4 linked regions of the Arabidopsis thaliana genome follow. The protein of the gene in region 1 interacts with the protein of each later gene in a pairwise test. Each region holds a gene or a part of one and is shown on either strand. Other genes may lie near its edges. The genes, in order: AXR3, RGL1, MBD1 and PTF1.

Evidence for each region.
Region 2: the proteins of AXR3 (region 1) and RGL1 interact in binary tests that used the Arabidopsis thaliana proteins (3 or more experiments, as listed by UniProt).
Region 3: the proteins of AXR3 (region 1) and MBD1 interact in binary tests that used the Arabidopsis thaliana proteins (3 or more experiments, as listed by UniProt).
Region 4: the proteins of AXR3 (region 1) and PTF1 interact in binary tests that used the Arabidopsis thaliana proteins (3 or more experiments, as listed by UniProt).

The regions. Positions count from the first base shown.
Region 1 is NC_003070.9:1,132,529-1,140,746, forward strand, and holds AXR3 (AUX/IAA transcriptional regulator family protein), read left to right. Parts: upstream 1-3,549; 5' UTR 3,550-3,853; coding exon 3,854-4,092; intron 4,093-4,405; coding exon 4,406-4,617; intron 4,618-4,931; coding exon 4,932-5,070; intron 5,071-5,211; coding exon 5,212-5,273; intron 5,274-5,774; coding exon 5,775-5,812; 3' UTR 5,813-6,135; downstream 6,136-8,218. UniProt on the Arabidopsis thaliana protein: Aux/IAA proteins are short-lived transcriptional factors that function as repressors of early auxin response genes at low auxin concentrations.
Region 2 is NC_003070.9:24,743,204-24,750,875, reverse strand, and holds RGL1 (RGA-like 1), read right to left. Parts: upstream 2,772-7,672; 5' UTR 2,550-2,771; coding exon 1,014-2,549; 3' UTR 690-1,013; downstream 1-689. UniProt on the Arabidopsis thaliana protein: Probable transcriptional regulator that acts as a repressor of the gibberellin (GA) signaling pathway. No effect of the BOI proteins on its stability.
Region 3 is NC_003075.7:11,945,347-11,952,659, forward strand, and holds MBD1 (methyl-CPG-binding domain 1), read right to left. Parts: upstream 3,459-7,313; 5' UTR 3,296-3,458; intron 3,174-3,295; 5' UTR 3,169-3,173; coding exon 3,049-3,168; intron 2,570-3,048; coding exon 2,075-2,569; 3' UTR 1,864-2,074; downstream 1-1,863. Other genes in the region: AT4G22740 (glycine-rich protein), read right to left, coding at 1-219; AT4G22750 (DHHC-type zinc finger protein), read right to left, coding at 4,020-4,154, 4,289-4,351, 4,456-4,541, 4,639-4,768, 4,874-4,965, 5,053-5,266, 5,801-5,989; AT4G22755 (methylsterol monooxygenase 1-3), read right to left, coding at 6,673-6,717, 6,841-6,876, 6,994-7,141. UniProt on the Arabidopsis thaliana protein: Probable transcriptional regulator.
Region 4 is NC_003074.8:387,489-395,286, reverse strand, and holds PTF1 (plastid transcription factor 1), read right to left. Parts: upstream 4,568-7,798; 5' UTR 4,044-4,567; intron 3,791-4,043; 5' UTR 3,766-3,790; coding exon 2,698-3,765; 3' UTR 2,520-2,697; downstream 1-2,519. Other genes in the region: AT3G02160 (Bromodomain transcription factor), read right to left, coding at 1-672. UniProt on the Arabidopsis thaliana protein: Plays a pivotal role in the control of morphogenesis of shoot organs by negatively regulating the expression of boundary-specific genes such as CUC genes, probably through the induction of miRNA (e.g. miR164).

The sequences.
Region 1 (8,218 bases):
GAACAAACCTTAATTAAATCTCTTTGAGAAAATAAAGACTGTTTAGTTATCATAACACGTATAGAAATAATCTGTGGACCATCACCAAAAACGCAGAGATAACAAATTAATTTTTTTACAAGATTGTCTATTAATAAAATTGGGGGTTTAATTAATCTAGTAATTAACCACTTTTAGAAACATTAATTAAAAAGTAGACATTCCAAGCAACGGTACTGTGGTTAGCCCCCACCACGAGGCTATATTGTTAAGAGTTATGCCAACATATAGAATAATATATCATGAGCGTATAGAGCAGATTCTCGCATTTTTACTTTTTAAATATATACTTCAAGAAAACCATTTAATTATCATTAGCTAGAAATGTGTAAGAACATGAGCAAATTGTCTGAATATGTACATTCTGAAACTATATTCAAGGAATAGTTAATTTGTAGTCATTTTCTTCTTCTTCTTCTTTTTATATTTTTAAATCGACAAATTCCAATTCATAAACAATTTTTATTATATGGGATAATGCGACAGTGGAATCAAACTCCACTGAAAATAGACTTAACCATTTGATTAAGATACATCTCCATTTATAGTCATTTGCTAAATGAGTGTCTTTCACATATTTACTTTCGAATTAGATTTCTTGAAAAAACCAAAGGAATTGAGATAATCTACTAACTATTAACCTTCACAAAAAGTTACATAAATAAATATTAATAAAAGACGACTAAAAGGAAATATTGTATATATATGATATATCGTCGGTCGAAAATGTCAGAATGGAGATGAAGCAAACTCACCAGAGAAATAAATAATGCAACAAATGATAGCGGAAATGATTGCTTCAATATATACTAAGATTTCTTTCTTTTCTATATTATTTTAAGTTGTACAGAAAAAATGAACCATTTTGTGGTGGAGAACAAGGTTCAATAGTTCAATACATATTATGTGTTTAGAACTAAGCAACATAATATAGATGTAAATATGTAACTTATACTTAGTAATGTACATATCAAAAATTTTAAAAATATGACTATTACACACTTTAAACTAAATATGACTCGAACAAAAGTAAAATAATAGAATGGAGAACTGAAATATACTTTTCTATTAGGTTCTTTAAATTCTAGCCAATTGATCGTTTTAACCCATATACATATATAAGACTGTAGAGCAAGTGTTGACGTAAAGTAATTTGTTTGAGTCTCAAAAGAGTTGTTGCTTTCACATACAATCACATTTTACATTTTAGTCAATGTAAACTTATTATTTGGTTGTGGATCGTTTCAATTGCATGCATGCAGCAATGCATGTCATTTGGCTGCATTCCTTAAATGCGAGAAGTATATTCCAACAACTAATGTAAATGAGAAAACTATAAAAAAAAAATTGAAGATGGACACAAATGAACCAGTACTATTGATTTATTTTTCTGTGTGGTAGAATGTTGAGAGTTGTGGCCTTGTATTGTCCACATGAAAGTACACCTGGTCCTCACACGTTCTTATCTTGCAAGTTCATAATTAACACACATATATACCTTTGAAAATAACTCATTAATTTCGACACCATGCATATAAAATACATGATTAGACCTATATATAATTTTCCCAAAAAATGAAAAATATATATAATCAAGTGAAAAAGCATTACCAAAATTACACATCAAATTAAGATGGTCTCTATCGTGTGACAAAGAAAATGTGGTCTCCATATGTATCCTTGAGAATACTGATGATATATGGATTTGGTTGCATTGGTTCAATCTCATTAAAGTTTCGCATACAATCCATTTATGTGTGCGGGCGCATTTTTTTGTAATCATGTAGGCTGGACCGAGAATTTATATTATTCACTGGTTTACAATTTCATGTGAATTCCATAGTGATCAGTAGATATATATATTGATCAGACAAAGTAGATACACATTGATAAAACACGACAAAATGATGTGATATATAAGACAAAGTGACCCAAAATTCGATTGAAAAATTTGGGGTACGTTGATTTGAAAACTCATGAGAGTTTTTTGGGATAGAAACAAAAGGAGAGAAAAGGGTTAAAGAGGAGGATGTAGACAAGGCAAGGAACAAAAGTAGGGTTTAAGATGTTTTCGCCCCTGAATTTTATTTGATGTAACTTGTCCCTTTATCATCTCCATGTTTTTCTTCTTCTCATTAATTTAAATTTTGGCTTTGGAATTTATGGTGATGTTAATTGTACCCTCTCTTCCTTTGGATTTTGATGCCACTCATGTCCCCTCTCATAGATTTTATTAGGGTAGGAATATGCCTTTTTCCCTCTTTATTTTCATATTTATTGAATTTACGTTGGTTAATTATGGTTAGTACGCTTGGTGTTATTTAAACGTCCCGTATTCACAGTTTACGCCTAACTGATTACTTTGAACTAAAACCAGTGTCTAGTAGATCACTAAAGTCGAATTTTGAACGAAAGTTTGAAAATTCGCAAAAGCGCCGTGAAAATACAATTCCAAAACATATCATTTTTGTTTTTGGAAGCGTGATTGATGAAATAAAAACAAAATATGTTTTGGAAGTGCGACAGAATTTGTTTTTTTGTTTAGAAATGCGATAATATAGACAAATTAATAGAAAATGTAATACAAATTTAGGTGCTTTCATAACTACAAAAAAAAAAAAAAACTACCCTATTGTTGAAAACTTTCATACTACAAGAATAACACAAGCAATATAAAAGAAGAAAAATAATTTTCAATAATCAAAAACAGACATTATATTTTAGTAGTCAATTTAATCTGTAAATATCTGTAAAGAAAATTAATCACCAATTTTATTGTTAACTACAAAGTGGTGTTTATAATATTGCAATTTATAGTTTGTTAACTACAAAGTATAAACATTAAAGAGTAATGATGCGTTTTTATGTGTCTAGATACACATTTCGCTGTACGTGTTTATAGGTGAGTTTTTAATCAATAAATATTGAAGATGTACCGTATGCTTTATTTTGTATTGGCATGAGAATAATTATATACAAGAGGGCTGCGCTTTTATTGTGGGATGAATAATTGAATCATGTGGATGTGATATGCATAATTGGAAGGTTCCGGCGAAGAATCTTACGGGGAAAAATAATCAAAATCATGAATATATATTCATTAGTTAATAATTATATTTAGAAGTCAAAAAGCATAATATAGTTATATTAATAATAATGTACATCTCTATTGTAACACTCTCATATGAGATGTCTGCGACCTCGCCACTCAAAAGAATATATATTTATAAACTATACGTTGATATAGTTTTTAAGACCATATGGTATATACATATATTTAGTTAGATACCCCATATCAATTAATCGGTTCATCACCACTTAATTCACTTGGTTGCTTCGAATGTGTTTCATAATTCACTTGTAATTTTAAAATCTTTCCTTCACTTGTGCTTTCGCTTGTAATCTCAAAATGTTATATATCTCTTTTAACGGGAGAAAAACGATTAAAGACGGATTAAAATATATATCCATTTTGTATAGTCAAATGCAATAATATATACATAATCTACAAGATAAATCATAAGAAAGATTCAATAACAGTAATAGAGTAATAACAGTGATTACTGATTAGTCTAAAAGACTAAAACTCGAGGATGATGACTTAATCAAAGGGCTTAGATTCATCCACGTGTCTAAAACCCGTTTAATCAAAGATCTCTTAAATACGACATACACATGCAGCTACCTCCTAGACAGAGATATAATACAGACTCATCTCACTTTGTATTATTTGAGTGTTTTTATAAAACCATTTTTCCATCTTCCTCATCACCTTCCCAAGAAGAAGAACACCAAAGAAGAAGAAAGGTTAATAATGATGGGCAGTGTCGAGCTGAATCTGAGGGAGACTGAGCTGTGTCTTGGTCTTCCCGGTGGAGATACAGTGGCTCCGGTAACCGGAAACAAGAGAGGGTTCTCAGAGACGGTTGATCTGAAGCTAAATCTGAATAATGAGCCTGCAAACAAGGAAGGATCTACGACTCATGACGTCGTGACTTTTGATTCCAAGGAGAAGAGTGCTTGTCCTAAAGATCCAGCCAAACCTCCGGCCAAGTAATTTTACTATTTTGTCCTTTATGATTTATTTTCCACTCTTCTCTACTGCTCTTAATATTAACATTTTTGTAAAGGTGACTGCAAAAAAAAACAGAAATTTCATTAAAGATATATATTTTTCTTCGCCAAAACCATTTTATCATATGTCTACGGTTTTTTTCTCTTCTTAAATCGTCCAATGTCTTAATATATTTAATTATGTTTAACCCATAGTCTCATGCAAGTAAAATTTATGTGACATCACGTCAAAGCTAACTACAGTCTATATCTTGTATAACATAACCGTTTTTCCGTTTTAAAAAAAATATAGGGCACAAGTTGTGGGATGGCCACCGGTGAGATCATACCGGAAGAACGTGATGGTTTCCTGCCAAAAATCAAGCGGTGGCCCGGAGGCGGCGGCGTTCGTGAAGGTATCAATGGACGGAGCACCGTACTTGAGGAAAATCGATTTGAGGATGTATAAAAGCTACGATGAGCTTTCTAATGCTTTGTCCAACATGTTCAGCTCTTTTACCATGGGTACGTTTTATAAGTATATTCCTTATATATATATGTAGATCCTTCCATGCACATTTAGTTACTAATTAATTGTTACTATAGAAAGAAAAATTAATCATCATGATGATAGATCAGTCCCAAATGAATTACCGTTATCGAGTATACAAATATTTCATAATTGAGTAACCCGTTAGTAGTAGTTTAGAAACTGTGAAAAGAAAACTATGTGATAAAATCCAATTGCGAAAAATGTATATTTCATTTGTTGCACCATAAAAGAAAACCACCAAGTTTAAATTCAGGATATCAAGTTCTTATACCTAAGATTATTTTAGGCAAACATGGAGGAGAAGAAGGAATGATAGACTTCATGAATGAGAGGAAATTGATGGATTTGGTGAATAGCTGGGACTATGTTCCCTCTTATGAAGACAAAGACGGTGATTGGATGCTCGTCGGCGACGTTCCTTGGCCGTACGTCTTCTTCTTCTCCCTTATTAATTACCATTTAATTAGAGCTTTATTGTTTCGGTTAAAATTCGAGCTTTATTTTTGTTTATGTCATTTATTTGTTTCTAATAAATAACCATTTGTTTTAATCTTTTTATTTATTAGAATGTTCGTCGATACATGCAAGCGTTTACGTCTCATGAAAGGATCGGATGCCATTGGTCTCGGTATGTATTTTCTACCAATGCATATTATATTCACATTGATTAAATTTTGATTTCAGTTTGTTACCCATTTAAATTAAAATTTACGTGTATATGTATACAATATAGTTAAAATAGCTTACAAAAGAGATTTGCCCCAAAAAGAAAAAAAAAACTTACAAAAGAGCTTAAAAGTTTACTATAATGTACACCTCAACCGCATAACTTGGTCGCCTAAATAATTTAATATGCTATCGTTTAAGATGATGTCTAATCATCAAACGCTTAAACCGTTCATTATTTTTCGCACAATTATATTTCTACCGTAAAGAACAAATTTGTCGAAAGAAAACTTATCGCTTTGATCTTTTAAATCATTGATATAATACATGATATTTGATTCTCTTTTGTCAAATGCAAAAAAAGAAAGAGATTAAATAACAGAGGGAATAAAAAATATACTCTTTTAACAGAATAAATACCGTGGTCAAATGTCTTTGCTTATTAATTGTAAAAATATTTCAGCTCCGAGGGCGATGGAGAAGTGCAAGAGCAGAGCTTGAAGTCAAATTAAAAGGATAAGTGGTATCGATTATATATTTGATTAACACATTGATTGGTGTTAATTGCTCTTTTTTTTCTTACGATGAAATACATTGTTCAGTTTCTTTTGATTGTCTGTGTTTTGATCTGGATTTGGTATGTAGATATAGTTTGTATGCTATTATGTGTAATGAACTTAAGTTAAATATTTGAGACATTTGTAATGGAAAATGTGTAATAATTTGAACATCCTATTCCTATGTATATGTTTGTCTTTATTTATTTATTTTGCCAAAGATGTGTATATTCGTATAAGGAATATGTGATTTTTATTCCACTATGGAAAATTTAATCTCACATTACTTCTCTTTAATTTCAGTCTCTTAATAGTCAGTTATTTTCTAAAGGCAGAACAGTATTCTTTTGGTTCGTCTTGAAAGTGAAACTAAAGATCATAGCGATCGAGTATTTGACCCTAAAGTAAACTTTCCCCAAGTATAATTTCGAAGTCGGTATAATTAGAATTACAATATTACAATATACATATGTTATATCAGATGAATATAATTACAAAAATGGGGAAAATTCACTTTGTTGGTATATTGATTTGTTGGTACTTAAAGTGATAATTGGCTTTGGTTGGAGGAAATAAAATAGAGAAATAGGACCCATAGGGAAGAGAGGGAGCAATGCCATGTGCATATTCATGGGTCTCTTCATTTCATTACCTTTGTTTATCATTTAATTTCCCATTAAATTAATTAGGAATATTAACTTTTATACCAACTAAATTTATTAACAAGGTTATCATAATTATACACAAATATCCTCTCTATAATGAAAAATGAAAAACCACTAGAAATATGGAATTACGTTGTATCCTTTATCACTTTCAGAAATGAGCTACAAGTAATTTATTATTGTCAAGAGATTGCACATGTGTAAAACTTGAAGGTAAAAGACATATATATGCAATAAAATATAGATATATATATATATATATATCGATGACATAATAGATATAGTATAATAACATATAGGGCCCTTTTGGATTAATGGTGTTTACTGGTTATAATGGAGCTATTCTAAGCAGTCCTTATTTAATTTGATGTTTAACGTTAAAAAAAAGTTTAAGAATAAAATATATAGATAAAATAAAGAAAACTGAGAATGTAAATATTGATAAATGGGGAAGCACATGGAGAAGATGTTGAATCCCAAAACGAACAAATCGAAGTTTTAGGAAAGTATCGTTCCAACGTACATGCATGCATATATATAGAAAATATGTGTACTAATGTATGTGTAAACACAAACATTGTACAATTAGTTACGTTGAAATGTTTTAAATTTCAGTATCTTAATATTTGTCTTCATTTCTTGGATCAGGCAGAAGCATGTTCGATGTTTGATGGGGTCAATAATTAATTTGACAAGTTGACGCTCTAGAGGATTCTTCACCAAACTTAAATTATCGCAGATAATACATTATTTAAAAATAGATGGAGCAACATATAAAACTATATGTTAAAAATATTTTATAGTTTTAGAAAAACTTTTGTTAAAAATAATAAAGCTATAAACAAACAAGAAAAACGGGTGATAGTTTCTCTATCACATAATAATGGAATCCATTTAAAATTCCATAGGCCTCATTACACATGATGGGCCGTGGCTTTTCTAAGCACAGTTGTTATCAAGATAAAGAAGCAGAAGAAGTTGTAAGGAATTTTCTAACCGGGTCAAGTATACAATATATGTAAACCATAACGTAAACCGGATATCAAACCGGGTCGTAGGTCGAACCTGAACTTTCTGATTCTGTTTTTTTTTTGTTGGTGTCCGAGTCTATTCCTAATTAGGGTTTGTGGTGGAGCTCTGTTGATGTTTTGATTCTTTCTATAAACGATTCAATGGTTAGTGGTGGCATTCCTCTTACGAAATTTTCTTATTATGCATGTGATGGAAATTTTCAACACCAAACATGAAGGAATGCGAAATATGAGTTACCAGTGAAGATATTTGTCCGATAAATGAGGTTGTGGCTACAAGTGTTTTGTCAAAACAATAATGGCTTTGTGTTCGGATGCTGGCTTTAAAGCTTGAGCTCTTGATTGAGTTTGCTCGGCGCTACTATGAATCATCAGATTGAATGAAGAAAGTTGTGTACTCTGTTCTTGTCTCTTTATGGATTCAAACCTTTTCTTCTCCTTTAACAAGGTTCATAAAAACCAAAAGAGAACAGTTTTGGGAGACCGAAACCATATCATCTCACAGACGGGTAACATCAATCCTCTTCCTCTAAACCGGTTTTCGTCTTAAAACATATTTTGTCATTAACAATGTTTAATGGGACACAAAACAAACAATGACAATTTACAAAACAACAAAACCCTAAATCCCCAAACTCATTATCAAATCGTGTT
Region 2 (7,672 bases), about 24 Mb from region 1:
CAAACCTAGAATGCACCATTATTGAAAAGAAAATACTTTCAACGAGTAAAACAAAATTTTAAAATGGTTGTAGTGTCGAAGAATGATGATGCCCATCAAATTAAAATCTCGTTTCCAAGAACATATTCTGAGGAAGGTTTTATTACCAAAACAATTCTGGTTATACTTGGAAAATTGTTACAAAATTGTGTAAGTAAGTTATAAGAAACAACATATAAAAGTTTTAGAAAGGTAAAAGTATTTGAAAATTTGTTAAAATTTATGAGGATTTATAATAGTTTCCCAAATTTATATATTCATATAAAGTTTCTAAAGACAAATTTATGTTTTGCGTCATTACGAATTCCTGATGAACAAACCTCTCTACCGACAGAAACTTATGAACTTATGTACAGTATAATTATGTCAGCTCATGCATATTTCTTCTAAAAGTAATAAAATTGGTAGTTGTTAAATTGATTACCAACAAAATGTTACCTACGAAAATCATTTTCTTAAAATGATGTCAACATGCGATAACAGGAATGCTCATATATTATTTGGCGGTGGGTACTAATTAAATCAACGTCAAAAGAGCACAAATACATTTTAAACACACCACTGTCCTCCTTAATTAAAGAGATAATGACCCTTTAACCAATCTATTTAAAGTCCATGGTCTTAGGATTATTCTCAAAAGAACTTGACTACTGGTTCGTGTCATGAAACATTTATCCATATCTATCAGACTATCACCTTATATATATCATTATTTCATCTCTTATTCAATTTTAATTTTATCGAAAACCAAAGATGAAATAGAAAAGACCTTTTTTACCTTAATGAGAACAAGTGATAAAAAATCATTTCATTGGCCTGACCCTGACGTAATAGTCTATTTATGCGAGGTCAAAATCTCGTGACAAGTGAACAAAATTTAGAATTCATAAAATTTGGAAAACGTGGGACTTTTTTTCTTTATCAGCAATGCAATAAAGTATATAGCACATTTTCACTTTTCCCATTATTTATTTTTATTCCACACGATTGATTCGCCACGCAGATGTTGCAATAAGCGGTCGCGTTTGCCATCCAAGCAACAAACAACCTTCATTCTCTTCCACATTATACCCATCAGCCCCGGCATAAAGTGCCAACAACATGCTTGCTTGCTTATACGCGTTCGAACCGATACTAACCGGTTTAAATCCTCCTAAACCGAACCGGTTTCTCCACTGATTTAAAGTCTCATGCCTCTCTACCCGGTCTTCTCCTTCGCATGCCACAAGGTTTAGTATCTGCCGTCCTAGGAATAACTCCGACATCACTCGGTCTTGGCTTGGCGGGCCCTCGAGCGAGTCGAATAAGCTCGAATAGTAATGTAGCGATTCCGTGAACCGATCGAGAAATACGGTACCGTTATGGTTTGCTTCTTGCTCGACCACAGTCATTATATCCGGTCGGATTGATTTGATTGTCGATAAAAACTTATCGATGGAACCGGGATGAGCTAAGAGGCGATGAAGCTCGAAGACCGAGTTAACCGCCACTGATTCTAAACCGGGTCTAATGTCTAGCATTTCCGGTTTAAGATCAGACAAATTGTTTAAAGCAATGCTCTTGAATTCGAAATTGACACCAATAGTACTCGCAAGCTGACCAAGTTTCCAACCAACTTCTTGAATATCGGTTAACGAATAACCGATCCCGGTTAACCGAAAATCCGGTGGACCATTAGGACGTAAAGCAAGAGCTTGAATCAAAGCCGGCCATTGTAAACCATGGTTAAGTCCTAAATCAATAACATGAACCTTCTCCGCCGTAGCAAAAACCTCAAGTATCGCTTGATTCGCCGTAAAATGCGCAAACTTGAGATACGGACAAGACTCATAGAAATGAATCTGAAGAGTGTCCGAAAACGAAGACAACGCGACATCGTCTCGAGGGTAAATACGGTAAATCCTTCTCGCAAGCCCTTCAGCGAAGTAAGTCGCGACTTTCCTCATAGCACCAGCTTGAGAGGACGCGAGTAACCCCACGTGCTTCACGAGCGCGTCGGCTAACTTCAAATTGTTCTGTTGAACAGCTTCAGCACAAGCTAATAGCGCGTGGACTAAACGCACTCCAGTTTCTTGAGAATCCAAAACCACCACAGAGCGCGTAGAGGATAACTCCGATTCAATTCTCGTCCTCTTGCTCCGACGAGTCACGTGCTCGTCACGTGGATACACTGCAGAGCCAGGAATAGCTCTAAGATCGTACTCTGAGTCAGGCTTTTCTTGAATCCGGGTCGGGTCAAGATCCGAGAGCATGCTTTCGACCCAACCAGAGAGATCAGAAGGATTGTAATGAACAGTTTCATCAGAAAGATTCGAGATTCCATCACCAAGAACCATCTCTAACTGTTCAAGCTTGTGTGCCACGTCAGCCATGTCGGATGATCGAACTTTGTAACCTAAAACAACCAAAAGCTCGTCAACTCCGGCAGCTTCTTCTTTAATCACCGTCGTCATTGATGAACTCCCACCTTCTCCGGCGGATGATTCACGGTGGTTGTGCTCTCTCTTCATTAAAATTGATTTGCAAGATTTTGTAAGATGAGAAGAAAGAGAAGAATAAGAGAAAAGATTAGGAACACGGGAGTGTCATAATAATTGAAGAAGAAGAAAGAAAAATAAAATTCTATTTTTAAATAATGATATGATTTTTTTTTATAATGTATGATTATTATTATATAGAAAAATAAAATAACATTTGGGGTTTCGAGCTAGCTTTTAATTGGAGTATATGAAATTTAGTACCGGCAAGTTCTTAAAAGCAAGAGCAGAGCCGTGGTACAACCGCAATCTAAAGCAATTATAAAAGGAAATTTATTTACCTATTTTATTTTCCTCTTTATATAATATACAGTAAATAATAGTAGATTCCTTTCTCTTCTTTTTCTGCGAATAAATTTTAATTTTCAAAATATGCTTCTCGAGAAAATTCAGTTTGATTGATGTAAACCTGACATCATTATTTGAACGAGATATTCTATAATCTATGCTATGTCATAATTATTTTGATTAAAAACTATAACAACTTGTTTTTGATATTTGATTATTTTGTGATTTTGATTATTTGATGAAGACTAGGTGTAATATTAAATAACGGTTATGATTTGGAAGTTGTATTGTAGAGAAACATTTAGGTTAAAAGTCCAATTTCTAAAGCCAACCACCACCCTTTTTTCAACTACAAAAACATACATTTCATTTTTATAGTTTTTGGTGATTAGGAGATTTACTTTTTATGTGTTGTGTTGTGATTATTGTTCAAACTTTTATATCATCTTCATAAATGAGAATAAATAAAGAAATTCATTATGTTCATAAGAAAATATATTAAACTATAAATTTCAGGGAAATCTTGTTTAGTTTTCTGTTTTTATATTATCGGGTGATTAATCTTTAGGTGATGTAATGAATTCTATTTTTACCAATTCCTCCATTTCATATAGAATAATGTTTGAAAGTTGTTTTTTTTTTTGCATAATGATGGCATTGTACGTTTCACATTTCGAATGTAGATTTTCAAACCGTATTACTAATACAAAAATTGAATTTATATCATCGCCATTCAATTGTAGTATTATGATTGTGGTCATATTTGTATATGTTTTATTATTTTTAATTGACTAAAAACGTAATTTAGTGATTTGTGCTAGTGTGCAAGAGCTGATGTGACACCGTCGAAGTTCAAACTCATATGCATGTTGTTGTTGATACAAAAAAAAATTGGTAATCGGAAAATACATGAAATCTAGCTATTCTTGTAAGCGTCGTTGTGAAATTATCACTCGAATTCGAATCACCTTTGTAACAATAAATATTTCTTACTTTTTTTGTAGGATTGGCGCTCTTCCTCAAAGAAATGACTATCAAGTAGTGTAAGCATAAGAGATTGACAAAACAAAGCAAAAGATGTTTTATGTAAAATATTTGCATATATTTTTAGTTGCGAAAAAAAATTACAACTAACGTGCAAAAATGTCTTTTGCAAAAATAATTAAGTTGACTTAAGAACTGTCGTCAAAATAACCCAACAAGAATATATAATAATATCATTCTATATTCTTATTAGCGATATTAGTATTATATATTTTTGTGTTGTAATACGCATTTTTATTATATACTTGTGTTTTAGACATGTTCAAAAGGCGATAGATGGAGAATAAATAAAATACTGTGTGGTTACGACCATTATTAGATGTGGAGCTCTTTCGGTATGAGCTTTAAGAAAGATACATGCAATCATAAAACATTTTTAAGCTTCCCCATATGCATAACCATTTTTCATAGTTCTACAATGACCCTTTTCACATAATGCATATCCTCATTTCGAACCAAGATTGTTACTTTGATTGATTAGGTTATACTGTTAGATGTTGATGTCTAGGTCCAAATATTTTTGATAGTTTCTTTAATTTCTTTGCTATTAATAGTAGACTAGACTTGATCATTATGATAGTTAGGAGACTTTTCCTCAAAACATGTATGTAAAAATGTCTAAACAATGATAATTAAAATTAAGGTTCTATTTTAGTTTAGTAGGTTTTGTTTACTAATACTTGTTGGAAAGTATGATGATTTACAAGGATGATTAGTGCCTTGAAAGAGAAATAGTCATAATTAAGTGACTATATTCTATGACATTGTTTAATTCAACAGTTTTCATCAGTATTATTCGTTCTTTTTAATTTCGAATCGTTTGGTACCTTCGGTTATTGGTTGGTAAGAACTTAGTAGTCTACTTGCTCTTTTTATCATCACCAATACATTAAGGGAATAAACATTAATTGGTTACCCAAATAATGGGCTAAAATACTACATGCTAAACACTTTCGTCCGAGAGATTAATTCACGAGGACCTAAAGTACAATAAGAGAAAACAATAGTCCACTAAAGTGGAGCCACTCAAAGGGGTATTGCGTTATCATGATCAGCTCAGAGATCCGACTTTAGTTTCTACCATGTGAGTGCACTTGATAGAATGGTCTTCATAGCCCATATAAGAAATTCAAGAAAATGAGCAGAGTAATATTTTTGCGATGGGACTTAAATCCTAGCAATAGGGTCATAGATTCCTCCTGAAAGCATATCCAACATAACCTAGAAGTAGAGTTTACATTCCCAAGAACCGTCAACTTGGCACTTCTAGTGGTAAATCCCTTTGATCACCGAAAACGTAGAGATTTTAGAAGTCATGTGTTCGATTTGTGTTGGAAGGGGTGAGCTTTCCAAATGATGGTTTAGACCTCGCTCTAAGGGATGTACGAGATCACATACATGCCCATAACTTCCCTATATATGTCCATTTTAATTTCTTGAATTTGAATTGCAGTTTACAATCTTAAGTATTTAGCTAGACAACTTGATATTTTGAAAATTCTTATCTATTTACAAAATTTGATAATTGTGATTTGAGTCCTTGTGAAATTTTCTTACACTGCATGTAATTCTTATCTACCAATTGTTAACTATTTTTGTTGCTTTCTTTTATTCACTTACAATTTACTAATGTCTTAGGTGGTGTTATTCAATTATGGAGTTAAAGTCAATTCTTTAAGCTTTAGATTTGTTTTCCGATATTGCTTTTAAGAATATGTTTGTATGAATTTCAAAATCTCTGCAATATGTCTTGGATTTTGATTCTAATGATTTACTCATGAAACTCTAAAGAACTTTCATTTCAAATCAATTAATATACAAAGATTTTACAAGTCTTTTAGTTTTGAATAACATTGGATTTTAATGAAATATTTAAAATCTTAATTGAATAACACCAAACTTTAGAATCTATTAAGCATGATTTACAAATATGAGTTCCAATAACACTAGATTTTAAAGCTGGATTTAGAATCATTAGTTAAATAATAGTGGATTAGTGTTGGATTTCAATTCTATAAAATCCATTAACGAAAAACACCCCCTTAGTTAATTTAGAAACCATACAAAACAATCTTTTCTTTTGAGTTAATTTTGTAAACTTTTGTGTGATTGTTTTAGCTCTCATGGATTAAATACCATTGTAGTGTAATCTTTGGGTTAAAATTTGATCTATCATGTTTTATTTTTATCATGGTTTCTAAAAAAATAAAATAAAATAAAAATTCAGATTAACAAAATTCGTTTTGGAGGAATATACATTAATTGCCGATTGGATATGTGCTAATCTCCGAGTATGACGAACATAAGGGCATTTAAAAATCGCATGATTAATAGATTCTTCTTCTATTTCACATCTAAGACAAAGTCGAACTGTTGTGAATTTCCTTCATTTGTAACCAAAGATTTACCGCCAATTATACTCTTGATGCTTGTCAAATGAAATGTTTTAATATCGACGAACACGTTATTTGTATATTGGGTTAAAATGACTTATAAGTAAATAAGTAATCAATGGTTTTCAAAATAAGTGGCTAGAAACGATGCCAATATTTCAAACCATCATGTTTTTAGATATTATCCGAATGAATTAGCTGGGATGATTAATAACCTAAAATATGTACGATAATAATATCGTTAATGTGGATTCCTAAGGGGTCATGTGCATTGTCAAGATTTTGACTTAAAATAGAAAAAGGCTAGACAATGTTAAAGTGAAGTAGCCGTTGTTGTACTAAGAAGGAATTAAAGTAGTTGGATTGTTATGGTGGGGCAAAAAAGAGGCCAATAATTTCATAGCCGATTTCGGAAAAAATTAATTCAATTGGTACCAAAGAAAATATAAGTAGAAAACAAATAATTACGAGCTTACCCCTAATCAAGGTCCACAATGACACAACACTTTCTTTTTGATGATTTTGGCCCTTCACATTCATACATATGACACCAATTCATGTTGGTGTGGGGACTTCTGTTTGCTGTATAATATGATCGATCTTTCCATGTGACTCACGTTCCTTGTCGCTCTCAAATTTTTGCCCCATCTCCGATCGATTATCATCACTCACAAACTTTTCAATATTTTGTTTCTCTAAAAGTAATCTTAAAAGCGTGTGGTCCCTATGAATGCGAATTATTCGTATACATGATGTGAATTAGAAGTTGTAAAAATTGAGAATGCAATTAAAATACCTAAGTTTTGTATTCTTTTAAGATTTTGTTTTCTTATTAATAAACAAGTTAATTTTTAGAGAATCCAATGAAAATTGGCTAAAAAGTTTAGAGATATAGGGTGTGATTGTTAGCTTCACACCGTAGTGGTATATTCGTACCGTTTTTAATATAACTAACCACATAACAATATCAAAAACGAGATAAAAAAAAAATTAAGATTTTTTTGCCGCTTTTTCTATTCGCTACATTGCATTGTTTTTAATTATATATATCATTAACATTTAGTTTTATTCGTTAATTTTTTTTATTCTTTATACATTACCAATCGGATTATAGTGTGAACTTTTTTTTGTTTGTCTATTGGCATTTGTTCATTTGGAATCTGGGTTCTTCTACTTCATTTTGATTTACTTATTTTTATTAATTTTGTTATTGTGGCATTATGGGACACGATAATTTCCCTATTTAATTAAATCAATTCATCTATAACAAGAGAGAAGACAATCGTGAAATAGACAGTTCTTTTTTACAATATTAATCCATTTTCGGTGCCTCCTAATTATGTGAACTAAAGAAATATCTAATAAGTTCCA
Region 3 (7,313 bases), on another chromosome or scaffold:
GGATTGAAACATGCCACCACCAAAAGGCTGAGTGAAGAAAGGGTCGTCAAATGGATCTCTTCCTCCGAAAAAATTAGACATGAGACTCGGAGGACCATTAGGGCCACCAAATCCACCAAAGGAACCTCTTCCAAAACCACCAAAAGAGCCACCTCCAAAACCACCAAAAGGACCCCCAAAACCACCACCAAAAGGATCTCTACCACCACCTCCTTGCATCTTCCCTGATAAAAACTAAAGTATACAAAAACAAAAACAGAATTCATAAAACGCTATCATCAAACACAAATCTGAAATTTGCAATTCAACACAATCTCTAGCAAGATAACAATTCTCTAACTGCAAAGCAATTTCAACAGTAAATCAGGAAGATTACATGAATCGATCACAATCAAGTCACAAACAACTCAGGAACGTAAATATCATGAAGAAAAAACCAGAGACCTGAAGCGAACTAGACCTAACGAAGAACCCGAAATTGAAATTCAATCAGAAATCAAAATCAAACATTAAAATTCACCGTAATCGAATTTGAAGTTCATACCTCGAACAACGATTCGGACTCCCAACAATCTGAGAGATATTTGTTGGAATTGAGAAATTTTCTCTTAAGCCATTTTATGCAGCAAGAGAATTTAAGAATCTTCTCGAACTGTGTTTCTACAGGAGTCGCAGTTTGATTGGCTGATGGGTTAACTTCGACACCGTTTCTGTAATTTTCTCTTGCTCATTGTCTTAAACTCATGGATTTTCTTCTAAACATGGCAAAATTATAAATATTTTCTACTGTTTTTCTAAATCCATTTTATTTTATCTATTCTATAATTTATATGTTCATTAGTTGAATCGAGTTTTTTCCGTTCAAAATGAGTTTCCGCATGATTTTGTACGTTTTAAATCTTAGATTTAAGCCATATTCAAAATATCGTTAGGCAATCTAAGATGAATTCTATAAACATTAATCTTAGATTGCATATACAAAAAAAGTTACAAGTTGAACACAAACTGCATAAATTAGGAACAAAGCTCGAGAGTGATTCGAAAAATCAAACCCAAAAGTAATACGGATAATCAAGCCGCTACTCATTCGGAACCACGAAATTACAAACAAAACTTTGAACATAACTTAAAATAACCACCGAAGTTTAAGAAAAAATGCTACCACCAAACAAAATAATGTGAAAACCACACTCGCAGTCAACAGAAAGCGCGGAAAGAACAGTAGATGCAGAACTACAAAAGCTCACAAGCAGTCTTCGAGGCAAATGTAAATCGCGAAAAAGGACCCCAAATACGACGAATAACAAGAAGAAAAAATCACATATAAGAATCAAAAATTGTAGCCATGTAATCTTCATCCTAAAGAGTCTAAATTTAGAACTTTGCATGCCCACAAAAGGTTAGCCTTTACATACCAAGTAAGACCACATGAGAAAACTGCTTATTCAACTAAACCAAGGAGTAAGGACGGTGGAAGGAGCAACCTAAACTTCTAATAAACGGTAGACTCCAGATACAAACAAAAACTAATGAAACATACACAAAACCTTGAGAAAGGACTAGCTTCAAGGGCTGGTCAGAAAACCCAAGAGCGGAAACATACATAAAGTTATGTTGTGAGTCTTCTTTTTGAAAATCCCAAATATGCAATCATTGTTTAAGGCTTCTTTTCATAAAGCTCTCAGTCCCAAGAGGTTATGACCAATACTCAATGTTGAATGGGATAAATAGCCCATAAGCGAGGACTTGCACACCGCACGCTATAGCAGAGGGTGCGCTTGGAGTAGAAGAAGTTGTACACATGCTGCTTGAATATACTTTGTCGTGTTTGTTTGTACACACTGAGTGAAAACCAGAGCGATTCATGTAGTTGTGACTTGTGACATAACAAAAAGAGAAGAAAAGATAATCCTTCATTAGAAAATAAAGATCCAATCAGAGTCAAAGAGATGAGTTTAAGAAACATTCTACAGTAAGAAGTCCGACACCCTTAAAAGACTAAACCAGATAGAAACCTAAAACTGACTCCAATAACAACTTCAACACCATAAGAAGCTGGGAAGCGCTATGTAGCTCAATCAATTGTAACTTTCCTTGATGGCTTGGGGGTCCTGTCAGATAATATCCCACTAGGAACCGTCTCTTCCATCACCTTTGGGACTGTGAAATTGAAATCTCCAAGCAGTGCATACTTGTAATCCTGATTGGCATCGATGAAGGCTGCGATTTCATTACGAGACTTGAGCTTCTTCCCAGTAGGAGTTATGTAGTACGCATCCATTTTCGAGTAATCCTTTCTCAGAATTAAGCTCCTTTTGAACCCTCTTGGTGTCCTCGGCAAGCCAGGCTTGTCGATGACCCATGTTCTGGAGGAATCATAGTTTAGATCTCCAACATCTTCACAGGACACACCTTCTTTCGTCTTGCAAAAAAACGGGTCCTCTTGTACTCTACTTCTGATATCTTCATACTCATCTTGAGTATCAATCTTCCTCCACTTCATGCACTTCTCACACTGCACAGCAAAGACATCTATCGACCTCCCTGGAGTACCGGCTTTTTTCTGCACCTGCACAATACAAATATGGAATCTCGGTGAAAAGAAGAACAGTCACTCACAAGCTACTTGGATCAACAGAATCATACTACAAATCGTTTAATATATAGCAAGATGAGAAAACATGCGTAGAGAAACACAAAAGTCAAAACAGGGACACCACCAAAAGAGTGATACTGAGAACATGCAGAATCAAAAACCAAATTTGAAGAAAAGGGTCACTGCGAAACCTTAAATAGCATAAATATTGATTAAATTTTATACATAACTGATCAGCCAAAGACACAACGAGAAATAAAGTTATAACCTTTATGTCTGCATCAGTTCGTCAAATAACACTAGTAACTAAGTCTTCGAAACTGGTTGAAAAAAAACCTTAAGATTCTCAACTAAAACCCTAATTAAGAGATAGAATTCAATGATAAGATCTGTGTGGTAAAGAGAGACCACAAAGCAAAATTGAAACCGGGTTTAGGTTTAGTGAGGTTTACCTTAATGGTTGTTGGTTCAGCTGATTTCTCAGTCTGCTCCTCAATCTTACTTCCAGATGAAGCAACTGATGAGTTTTCCGATCGAGACTTCTTCAAGTTCATTGCCGGAAATGGTAACATTAAACCTTCAATTTCAAGCCCTAAACGATCAGTATAACGAAGCGAGAGAAAACTCCAAAATTGCGAAATTCAAGTACGAAATCGAATCAAAGAGCAGATTCAAGGAGAGTGATCCAAAAGTTCATACCTCGAACAACGATTCAGATTTCCAAAAATCTCAGAGCTCTTTGTTAGAGAATTTGAGAATTTTTCTTTGAACCCTTTTTAATGCAATGTTTTTTTTTGGCCAGCAGAAGAAGAAAAAATCTTCTCCAACTGTATTTACAGATGTCGAGATATGATTGGTTCAATGCGACACGCAGACCATTTCTGTAATTTTTAATGGATTTTCTACTAAACAGGGCATAATAATTAATTAAATTTCCAAGTGTTTGTTAAATGGTTGACTCTGGATTTTAAATATGTACATATTTGGCCAAAATTATATAGACCAGAAATTTAGTTTTTAAAAAAAATTATTTTAGTAAAAGTATTACATTATAAAATAACAATAAAACAAAAAAGGACAAAAATAATTATTTTTGATTCGATCAAAAACATACAGAAAGTATGTGGTACGTCAAATCTTTGATAGTTACAGTACATCATTCACGTGTCGTGATTTTTTTATTTTTTATGATAAATAACATGTTATTATTATCAATAGTGAAAAAATGAAAATGGTATATTTAAGCAAATGTGAAAATGGTATATTTAAGAAGTTTGAGAAATTTCTTTTCACGAAATAAAAAGATACAAATTCCACAATAGGCACTAATCTTTATAATACACAAGACAATGTTTGATATAATATTTGATTGATACATACACAAAGCAGAAGACACACTTCCAAAAATTTCAAGTTTGTAAGGTCATAGAGACTGAAGCGGCTCTGTCTCGGACTCCGACCTGCTCGTAAAGTCTAACCCTCCAAGTGCTGGCAACTTCTTCTTATCGTCTTCCGTGTACAATGGCACGAACCAATACATTTTATCACTTCCAAAAACCTGATTCAACAAAGGAATAGAGACCAAACTTTTTAAAGCTTTCATTGTGTTCGATGTCAAAGATATTATCTAAGTAGCGGGGAAACGAATCAGTCACTGAAGAACGAGTGAAACAAAGAAGATGGAGAGCGAACCTGTTCAAAGTTTGTCTTACGACCAACGTTGTATGGCCAGTTCACTGTATGCTTCTCATACGCCTGAGATTAAAGAAACCATTAGTTTGGTCAGTGAGTTTATTGACATGGAGATTCCTGAGAGAACCCAAGTTAAGAGCAAAACCAAGTGAGAGTTGTTGCTTTACCTCAATAGTTGTGGTGTTACGAGCGACCAACATTATGTGCATTATTAGGAAGCCTAGGACACTTAGGGCAAATGCTATGTTCAATACTGGAAAGCAAGAGAGTGAAGTTTTTGAATCAGATGGTAACGTTAAGGTGTTCTGAAACAAAAACGGAAACTGAGATTTCTATATCTTTGAACTCACCAAATGCAACAAAGCTGGCTGCTAGGCTTCCTGGTGATACGGTTATATCACCATCTCCATCGCTGAAGAATACGAGGAAAATTGGCAATAGTGATACTGCAACCACCGTTGTCTCAAGAAATGTGTAAAACTGCATTTTTGAGATATTGGGAATGGATTATGATCATGGCAACATTAATGAACAGAACATATCAAAAACAACTTCGTTCAGCGATGCTATGATAAGTTGACATACCAAGAATAGGAGAAATGATTTGTAGTTATTTGCACCAACACAATTCACCACCCAAACACAGTGATGGTCCATCTTTAGTATGCATCTTCCACCTGAAAACCCAATATGACAACTTTTTCACTACTAAAAAACACATATACCGGATTCAAAGAAAAGAATCACTCATTGAAGAGACTTACAGACTGAACAATGGTGAGAACGAGGCGGTTTATATTGATTGCACTTTCTACAATATCTTACACCATGAGACGAGGAATCTCCAACCGAAGCTTCTCCAATCAAAGCTTGGTTTCCCTCGCTTTTCTCTATGTCTAATTCTGGCCTCCAACCCGTTGGAACACCACCAGGGTCCGTCACAACAACAGAGAAATAACTCCACAGTAGCATTATAAGCTGCAAACAAAACAACAATCATAAAAAAAATGAGTCCTTTGCTTCCTTACTCTTTCCTCTGTGAGTTCTACAATGCGAGGGAGTTCAAATGTTGATAATCTATTAAAACACACAAGAAACCAACAGCTTTAAAACTAAAAGAAACAAAGACACTCTACACTACAACCAAATCAAACCAAAAAAAAAAAGATGAATACTTGATTGCTTACTTAGCTTATACTATCCTAATTCACTATCTCATCTTGCTGTTACTTAAAATCCAACAGACACAAATGTAAATCCACACGCCAAGCTAGATTGAGCCCACTACCACAACAAAGCAACAAGCTTTGACTCAATATTATCAAAGCAAAATCAAGTTGGTGCATCTGACAGAACCCAAAAGATTACAATTCGTAAGTAACTAAAGCATAGTCCAAACCAGCGTATCATGTAATTAGCAGAGATCTAGAGGGTACCAAATGCAAAAATTTCAAAAGGGTCACAAAAAGATTAAAAATTTCAGATTGACCTAGAAGGAAGAATTGAGTTTACCAGAAAGTGGAAGAACGCTAAGACGAGAACAGATAGTAATGAATCGACACCACCGATCAGTAGAGCAGGTCCGTAATTAACGACGACAACGGCGTAGTATGTGAATCCGATGATCCCGATAACAATTAAGATCATGATCGAACCCAAGGCGCGAAGTGCTGTGCAGAACTTGAACACGTTCCACGCCATTGTCGGGGTTCTTTCAAAACACCCGGAACTTGTTTGGTCGGAGAAAAAAATGAAGCAAACCCCAAATTGAATTGAGGAATAAAGTTTATAAATTTCGATGAAATCGAGCTGACAATTTTTTTGTTTTCATGGATAATTATCCTTTTTTCTTTGTTCAAAAATTAATATATTTATTTCTGAGGCTTTTTATTATACTCTGTTAAATTTTAAGAATTATAACTTTTCTTTGTGATAATTTTAAGAATTATAATTTTTTCAGGAGAATTACAAAATGAAATTTACCCCATACGATAACTACTAATTACACGCATGGTAAATTAAATAATTCAAGTGAAGAATTTTTCTTTGAATGATTTTACGTCACATTATTACAGATTTACAGAACTACTTATAGTTTAGTCACAAACAACGTAGCATATATGATCACGCATTAAGTGTCGAAAAAAAAAAATATGATCACGCATTAATTTAATTATTTTCACAACACAACCCCCTTAACTAAAATATGGATCATTATAGTAGAAGCATAATAGTGGATTAGTAGCAATTTATTCCTCTTACCATTATTTTTCCAGACAGTTTTTTTTACATGAACAAAAAAAAACGTTTTTTCCATATTGTTACTTACTCCCACTTCTCCAATCAAACCCTTATCTTATCAATGAATTGAAAATTTTAACAGGCTAATCGTGTTTCCTTACTCTCTTCTCTTCAGCTTCCTCTTTAATCTACAACATATAAGATAAACCACAAAAACAAAAGTAAGATGTAGATAATGTCACACATGACAGATATATATATATATGAAGTTATTAAGCTAACATTGATAATGTGAAGTTTAAAATATTAACCTGATGATGAAGAAGCTTCTTATGGATTCGATAGCCCTAATGACAGAAAACAATATAACAACAACGTCAACACTGGTCAATATTCTATAATACGTAATTAGTTTAAAACGCTAACGGACAAAGTAATATGATTGAAGTTTGATCAAAACTCACTTTATCAGTTCCATAAATGTAATCGCAGTAAGTGAAAACCGAAGCAAAGTTGCTCTGGCTTTGTCCTCCAACGTAGTGATGGTAGTCATGATACTCAGGTCCACCGTAAAATGGAATTAATTTTGTCACACTCCATGGAAAATCATATCTGCAAACAAAATAAGTAAACAAGTGCATCTACAAACAATATGTAACTATTTATGTCTATGTTTGCATATTACTAAATTCTTTTTTTGTGTTTAGCGTTTGAATTTTCGAATGATATCACTAAACACTCAATCTTTCTTTTACAAACGCTAAACAGGATAATGATTTTAAGT
Region 4 (7,798 bases), on another chromosome or scaffold:
TTTACTAGGAATTTCTCCTTCGATTGTGGCTGCATTAGTTTCCTCTGATCGATCACACAATTCGGTTTCGGGAAATGCAGGAAGCCAAACAGGAATGTGTTCATCTGGAGGTTCTGCTCCAACCTCAGAGAAACTAGGAGCAGGTTTTTTCTCTTTACTAAATGGGAAACGAGGAAGAGAGTAAACAAACGGTATCTCCTCTGCTTCTCCAGTATAACGAATGATATCCTTGACTACACCGGAATCAGCAAGACAATGGTCAGTATCAGAAACACCAGCAAAACCCAAACCAGATCCCAAATCCTCTAATGCTTGAAGAATGTCCAGAGAATTACCATCTACTCTACCGGCTAAGTTAGCATACAAATGAGCAGTCTTCCCAATGCTCTGAATATACTGAACCGCAACATCAGTTAGTGTATCAAGAGCAGATTCTTGAAAAGAACTAAACCTCACACCCTCACGTGTCTGTGATTCCTGATACGGGTTAACCTCAACACTCTCGCATATCTGAGCCACTGCCATTCTCGCTATGGAAAAAGCGAAATCATTGCCTCGGAAAAGCTTTCTCTTACCATGTAATTCTCTTTGCTGACTTCCACCTTCCCCAACTCCATTGTTCATATTCAAAAACTTTGTTACAACTTCACCCAACATAACATGTAGAACCATCTCTTGAGTGAAAAACCAACACAACACGTATCCCTCTCAGAACACAAAACAAAAGCCAATATCTTTCCCTCGAAAGTCTTCTCTTAGGCACCTAAGAACAAATAAGAGAGAATAAAACATCAGAATCAATTTTATACTAAACCCAAAAGTGACTAAAAAACGAAGAATTGAACTTAATGAAAGATCAATTTTGTTCCGGTCACTAAGAATAGACGTTTCGGGTTCAATTTAAAGCAGTAGAAAGCAACAAAGCAAACTCGAGAGCGAGAGTTAACGAATCCAATTAAGAGAAGTAAAATGCTTTACCGGAGAAAAAGCTTTATCCACTGAAAATTCACCGGGGAAGAAGAACAGACACAACTTGGGCAGCTATCGGCGGCGAACACAGTGAGAGAAAATGCTAGCGAAGAAGTGAAATTGAAAGCACCAACAAACGAAATTGAGGAAATTTCGCATGCGAATCAAAAACCCAGCTCCAAGTTTAAAACTTTCGATCCAATTTGAGAAGGCGAAGAAAAAGAAGGGTGGGAGATTTTCCAAGTTTGAGATTTTCGTTAACTTTATAGAGAGGAACTACTGAGTTTTTTTAAAGAAAATTAAAGGCAATTACTATTTTTTTCATTTTTAAGGAAATTAAATTAATCTTTATTATAAAAAGAATTATTTATTTTCATATATAGTAAGATTAAGATTATTACAGCGATGATGTAATAATTAGAAAGGATACAATTATTTGCGTTGATGGGCTTTCAGGTTATCAAACAGAATTTCAAACTAATGGGTCTTAGTGGTTGGCCCAACAATAAAAAGACGTTACAAAACATATCAAAAGTTCAAAACCAAATCTTGTTTGATACAGTATGTTTTTAATTTTTAGTGCGACTTAATAAATTCAAATTTCGTCATTTATTGTCCTCCGTAGTTTAGTTTGCTATCAATTTTTGTGAGGTTGGAACGTAAAACCAGATAATTCGAATTAATATATATATATATGCATGTAGTATGATAGCTAGAGATCGACATGGAAGCTTTTTGCAGAAAGTATGATGATATACGACAGAGTCACAGAGCATTGGATCGGTAGCCTTTTACTCAAATCAATCAAAGATCGTACACACAACATTATTTAGAAGCTTTTGTCTCTATCACCCCTATAATAATTTAACTAATTTTTCTTCTTTCTTCATTTATTAATTCTTCCTTTTTTACCTCCTACTATAAATATTAACATAGCATGTACATATGTAATTTGCATTTTAGCCTAACTCTTTCATTGGTGAACATGCATGTGATCACTATTCACTACTACACATTATTATCGAGACCATTTAGCCTAGCTACACATCTTAATTTTTATATGGGAATGGCTTCTTTGCATCTTGATAGTTTACTTACTATGCTAATAAGATTTTAAAATGGGCACTTGTATGTATAATAACCATTCATGATGAATTTCTATTTGATAATGGGTTCAATATATATCTGCTTCACATGACATAGTAATGTTAGGTTTGTTTGGGTTTTGTGGAATCTCCACTTATATCATCATCTAATAATCTATCTAGCTACGGTCACATTGAGTTCTATAGTTGCATTGTACCGTGCATCCAATAGAAACATAATACCTCGATAACAGATCAGTATAAATTATTAGATTCAATTTCATATTATTACGTTACCTATTGATGAATCTGATTTTTTTTTTTGCTAAATATTTGATGAATCTGAATGTAATTTAGCTTCTCATCTCAAAGTGCATACATTACTATCAGATACTTATAATACATTTCATGTATGTTTGTGTGTATTCAGATCCTATGAGGAAGCTATATATATATATATACATGAGAAAGTTTCAAAACACATGCTAATAGTAAATTAATAAATCAATTTATAACATTAATTTGTCTATTAAAAAATATATCAGCAAAACATAGTACAATAGTAATTACCTTATATTTTGTTTTGTGTCCCCTTATTTCTGAACACATCAAACAACAATTATATCGTTTCAATAATCTAACTTCACATATGGTGATCACTTCCTCTACTTGTACAACGCTCCGAGCCTAGATGCCTCGACATGTTAGCCGTTGTAGTGCTATTAGTTCGGTTGAATTGGACCGACGACATCCGATTATCAATGTCTCTACCACCATTGTTGCTACTACTACCATGTAACAACGAATATAATGTCGAAATGTTTTGGGAAGACGAAGATGAAGAATTACCCATTAATGGCATTTGAAAATGGCTTACCATTTGCCTCGGATCTAATGTCTCCATAGTCCCTGAACCAGCTGACGATGATGATGGAAACAAAGATTGTATAGTTGTAGTTGTTGGTGATGTCGTCATTGGACATACCAAAATTTGTGATGGAAATGGGACAAGACTATGTAGTTGATGACTATGATAATCTGCCTGTAAACTCAAATGTTGGTGATGATGATGATGATGTTCCAGGTTGTGATAAGTTCCATAAGACCCAACATGATGATTGTTTGTGTAAACGACATCGTTTTCTCCTTTCTCTCTATCGTTTTCTTCGCGGCTAGTAGTAGTAGACTTTTGTACACATCCATTGATTTTAAACCCGAGTTGGGTCGGATCTTGACCGGGCCGTTGACCAAGATTCAAGAAGGACTGATGATGGTTGAAGATGCTGAAATTTTCCGGCGAGATAGGTAACGGAGGTAGCTCGTCGATCTCCTCTTTAGCTGCATCAAGCAACCAGTCAACGGCTTTGCTAGGCTGGTCAACACCGAGCCGTTCTTGAAGATCGTAGAGCTGAATAGCCGTTGGGACTGATAATCTCACGCGTCTGTCACGTAGTCCACGTAACGTACACACTTTGCTGTGACGGTCTTTGCCTCCAAAGGCGCGTGAAACCCTAACAATCCTCGGATCCTTGGATTTCATCCACGAAGAAGAAGAAGAAGAGATCGATGTAGGCTGCTTTTTAATTACGGTTTTGCCACTGGTGGCTCTGACTTCGGTTTCTTCTTGATCCTCTTTTACTTCTCTTTCACGTCTTGTCGTAGCGCCGCCTGCAACTTCGTCGTTTGCATCTTTCCAAGAGACGATATTCATAATGCTATTCTCGAGATCTTTATATCTAATACAGAAAGAAGACCAAATGTATATCCATTAGCAGAAAACATAAGGGAATTATGGCAAAAGAATTCAAATAATATAGTTAATTTCTGAATCCTTTTAAAACGAGAGCGAATCCAGAAAAATGGAGAGAAAGTAGGAATTGTCTAAGAGAGAAAATTAGGGTTTAATTTAGCCTGTTTTCTTCAATCGACAAAATTCTTATAATCCGGACTGAAGAAGAAACAAAAAAAAAAACGTGTACTGTTTCTTACATGAGTTCCAAAGTTTTGTACGGTCTTGAGCTTGAACAGGAAATCTAGGGTTTTGCTGTTCTATAAAATGAGTAATATGATGAAGAAGAGAGAATGAGAAATAGAGAGAAGAAAGTATGTGATTCGACTTTTCTTTTCAAAAAGTATATGAATAAAATGAAAATAAGATAAAAAGAAAAAGAAAATTAGAAAGAAGAAGATGCTTTTGGAAGTGAATATGAGAACCCTACCAATATCATAAGCCTCCAAAATTTAGAAGAATTGCGACTTAAGTATTTATGTTAAAAAAAGCAATGGATGTAGTAATGCCACGTGGCGGATTTCGCTATCCTCGAAGGGAAAATAAAATGAATGCGCTGAATAATCAGTCAAGTTCATTTTCATCTTTAATATTATGGATCATATCAAATCTACATACGGAGGAGATATTAAACTCGAATATTTTATCATCCACGTATGTGATATGAGTTGCAGTTATAATACGGCTAAGAAGAAAATCCCAAAAAAAGTATACGCGAATATCTAAATTTTACAGAAATTTTAGATGCCAAAATCAAACATACATTGACGTGAAGTTATATATAATAGTAGCTTATTAGAACATCTAACCAATGTTATGAAAATAACGACATTTTAGGAATAATTATTGTTGTGAAATGGATGATGTACGATTATTGATGGAAAACGTATGAATTTTATCTCAATTAGCCAAACCATGATAATTTCGTGATTTTTTTTCTTTAATTGTCCACTGTAAATCTATTGGTAGAATTAAAAAGCCAAGACCTATATTATTTATGATCCTTGATTTTTTTTTTTGCTCTTTTCAAAAATATGTTTTGCAGCCGCCAATGCACTCGTGATATATTGAAATGAAGTTGGATCTATAATATTATGACTAGTTAAACACTTCATCACTTTCTTTTCTTAAAAAAAAAAATGAAACTACATCAATTATTAACCAGGTATTGATTTGTTTCATAACACTTCTATAAATGATAAAGATTAGACTTTAGAGTTCAGCGTAGCGTTTTCTTGATCATTTTAACTCATCTTTTAAATTGGATATCTTATGAATAATCTAATTAAAAGAATATGGTACATTATGTTTAAATTTAGTCCTTGGTTCTACAATATGAAATGTAACTCACATATATGGTAATATATAATATACACACAGTATATGGTCCATGTGAATATTGGCATGCTGTTATATCGACAATTACAAAAGGTTGTGGTTTACCCGATGCACGCCTTGTGTACCTTGTTGAGTCATGACTCATTACCTTTTCAAAACACAAGTACTTTAACTAGACATCACTAAGCCCTAATTTACTTTTGCTTCATATATAAAAATCAGTTTTAACATCTTTATTTATCGATAAGGTTGTGTTAACCTTGTGATTTTTCTTTATATAAGGATTTTTTTTTAATAAGATTTTCTATATTAGATCTAATGATGTATATATTATATTTAAATGTGTAATCTAATATAATTAATATGGACGGTAGGATATAAGAAGTAATATGATTTTGTTATTCGGATGCATCATCTGTGAAAAGGGGCACCTATATAATTCCCATATTACTAGTCAAACCATTCTTTTAGGTCAAACTTAATGTTCTAAGAATAATTGAGACGAGTATTTTTCAGAATTTCAAATCCATAAAACTAATAATAAAAAAGTATCCACATGATTGTCTTTTGAAGTATGCAACTTAATTAATTATCCATTCACAATAAGATTTGTACCCCTTTTTCAAATACATTTTAAATATCTATATGAATCAATAACATTCATCAAATTATTAATTTTATTAAATTGTACATTGTCTTTTAAATAAAGTGATATAAGAATATTAGAAGTGGACGAAAGCAATATATCCTTATGAATCGAAACAAAGGAGTAAGAGAAAAAGAAAGTGTGATGATGATCATTTTATCTTAAGACATCACATGGGAACAAAGGAGAAATCGGACAAACTTAGAATCCATTAAGTCATGTCTACTTCACCGACTCCAGAATTTTGTTGTCTCATGAACAAAGATTGGGGTTTTAATAGCTTTTCTATAGTATTTTCACATCCATAATAATAATTAATGATGTGAAGGATATATATATCAACGACAATAATATCCTAAAAATCATGTTAAAAGTTAAACACATTTCTCCATATTTGATAAATAGCAATCAATATCAGCGTATATAAATGAGATGAAGCTAAAGTTAGCAAGACAAACAAAAACGTATGAATTACGTGAGCTTACGTGAATATTGCAAATAGAACACCAAATCATTAATTTCGGTTGACGTGGATATTCAAATAATGATCTACACATATACAGTACCGTGGGTACGCATGCCATTTCGAGACGTATACAATTCAGTTTCTTCCACTTGAGTTTCAGATCTTTATCAAAATTACAAACACGTTTATATATATATACACATATAGATAGATTGATAGCCACATTTCTGAGATTCGATAGTCATATATACGACTATATATTAAATATTCCAGAAGATATATTGACACTTTTTCTGAAAGACTAATTAAGAAGAACGCGCAAGTATGACTATGCGTTACTAAGAATATTTAATTTCCATTAGAAAATGTGTAAGTTTATCTGATATACTAGTTAATTAGCCAAATGATTTTAAAATTTACGTTAAGAAAATTTCGTAGGTTCAACTTTTTAGTGTGTAAGTTATTAATTGTGAATTATACAGCTAGGAACGTCCGTTATATGTAAACAAAGTAACTATATATAAAATTTAAGACTTAGAGTAAGTATTTATTATGTGATTGTTATATATACTCGCTAAAGAGTACTAGATGAAGAGTGAAGAGGTTGGGCATCTCGAGAGAGAAACTGAAGAAAACAGAAGAGAAAGAGAGTTATTCACTCGATGGTCCCCCTAATTTTCCTATCACTTTTTCTCTCTCAATTTAACCGTCTCTTGTATTATCCCCAATAGTTACATTTTTAATTACTCTTATCATTTCAATACCCAACAAAGCAGAAACAGCCCAGCAAAATTTTCACTTCCAGAAATTATAACATGGTTGAATACACAACACTAATTAACTGCAATATGAATCATAAATAAATTTATTAAGATTTCTATATAAAAACTGTTGGGCAGCAAATGCATGCGTACGATATCTATAGAATTGGAGTTTAGTGCAATTGTTGGTATTTCTTTCTTTGGGGAAAGTGACACGTTAAAATATGAAAAATGTAAAAATTTGAACAAGACTTACAATAACTAGAAAAATCAGAGATACAAAATTTACTACTCTATCAGTCTATCTGTTGTCTTATACACTACACCTTTATTATGCACTGTTCCTATCCCAAACACCAATCCCTATGCTCAGTCCATATGGTAGATACTACTAGAGATGGTAACCCAACACATATGTGTTAGATGGCCCCATAGGCAGTAAGCAAAACATTACTTTTTACAACCATATCTTTGTTTATAAATTTTAAAAGCTATGTGAATTTAATTTAGTATTACTATCCTGGATCACAATCTTGGGCCAACAAAAGAAATGTGTATGGGCCAACTGTGATGAAAGAAAAGCCCAATGGATCAAAGTTCAGATGCTTTCTGTAGCTCTTTTGTAGAGAAGTTTTTGTAAGTTTAGTTATAGAAGCAAAAATAGGTAAACCACAAAACTGAAGCCCGGTTGACTAAATCCTTAAATGTGATCATGTCACACAGCAACTTGGCTACATGTTGTCG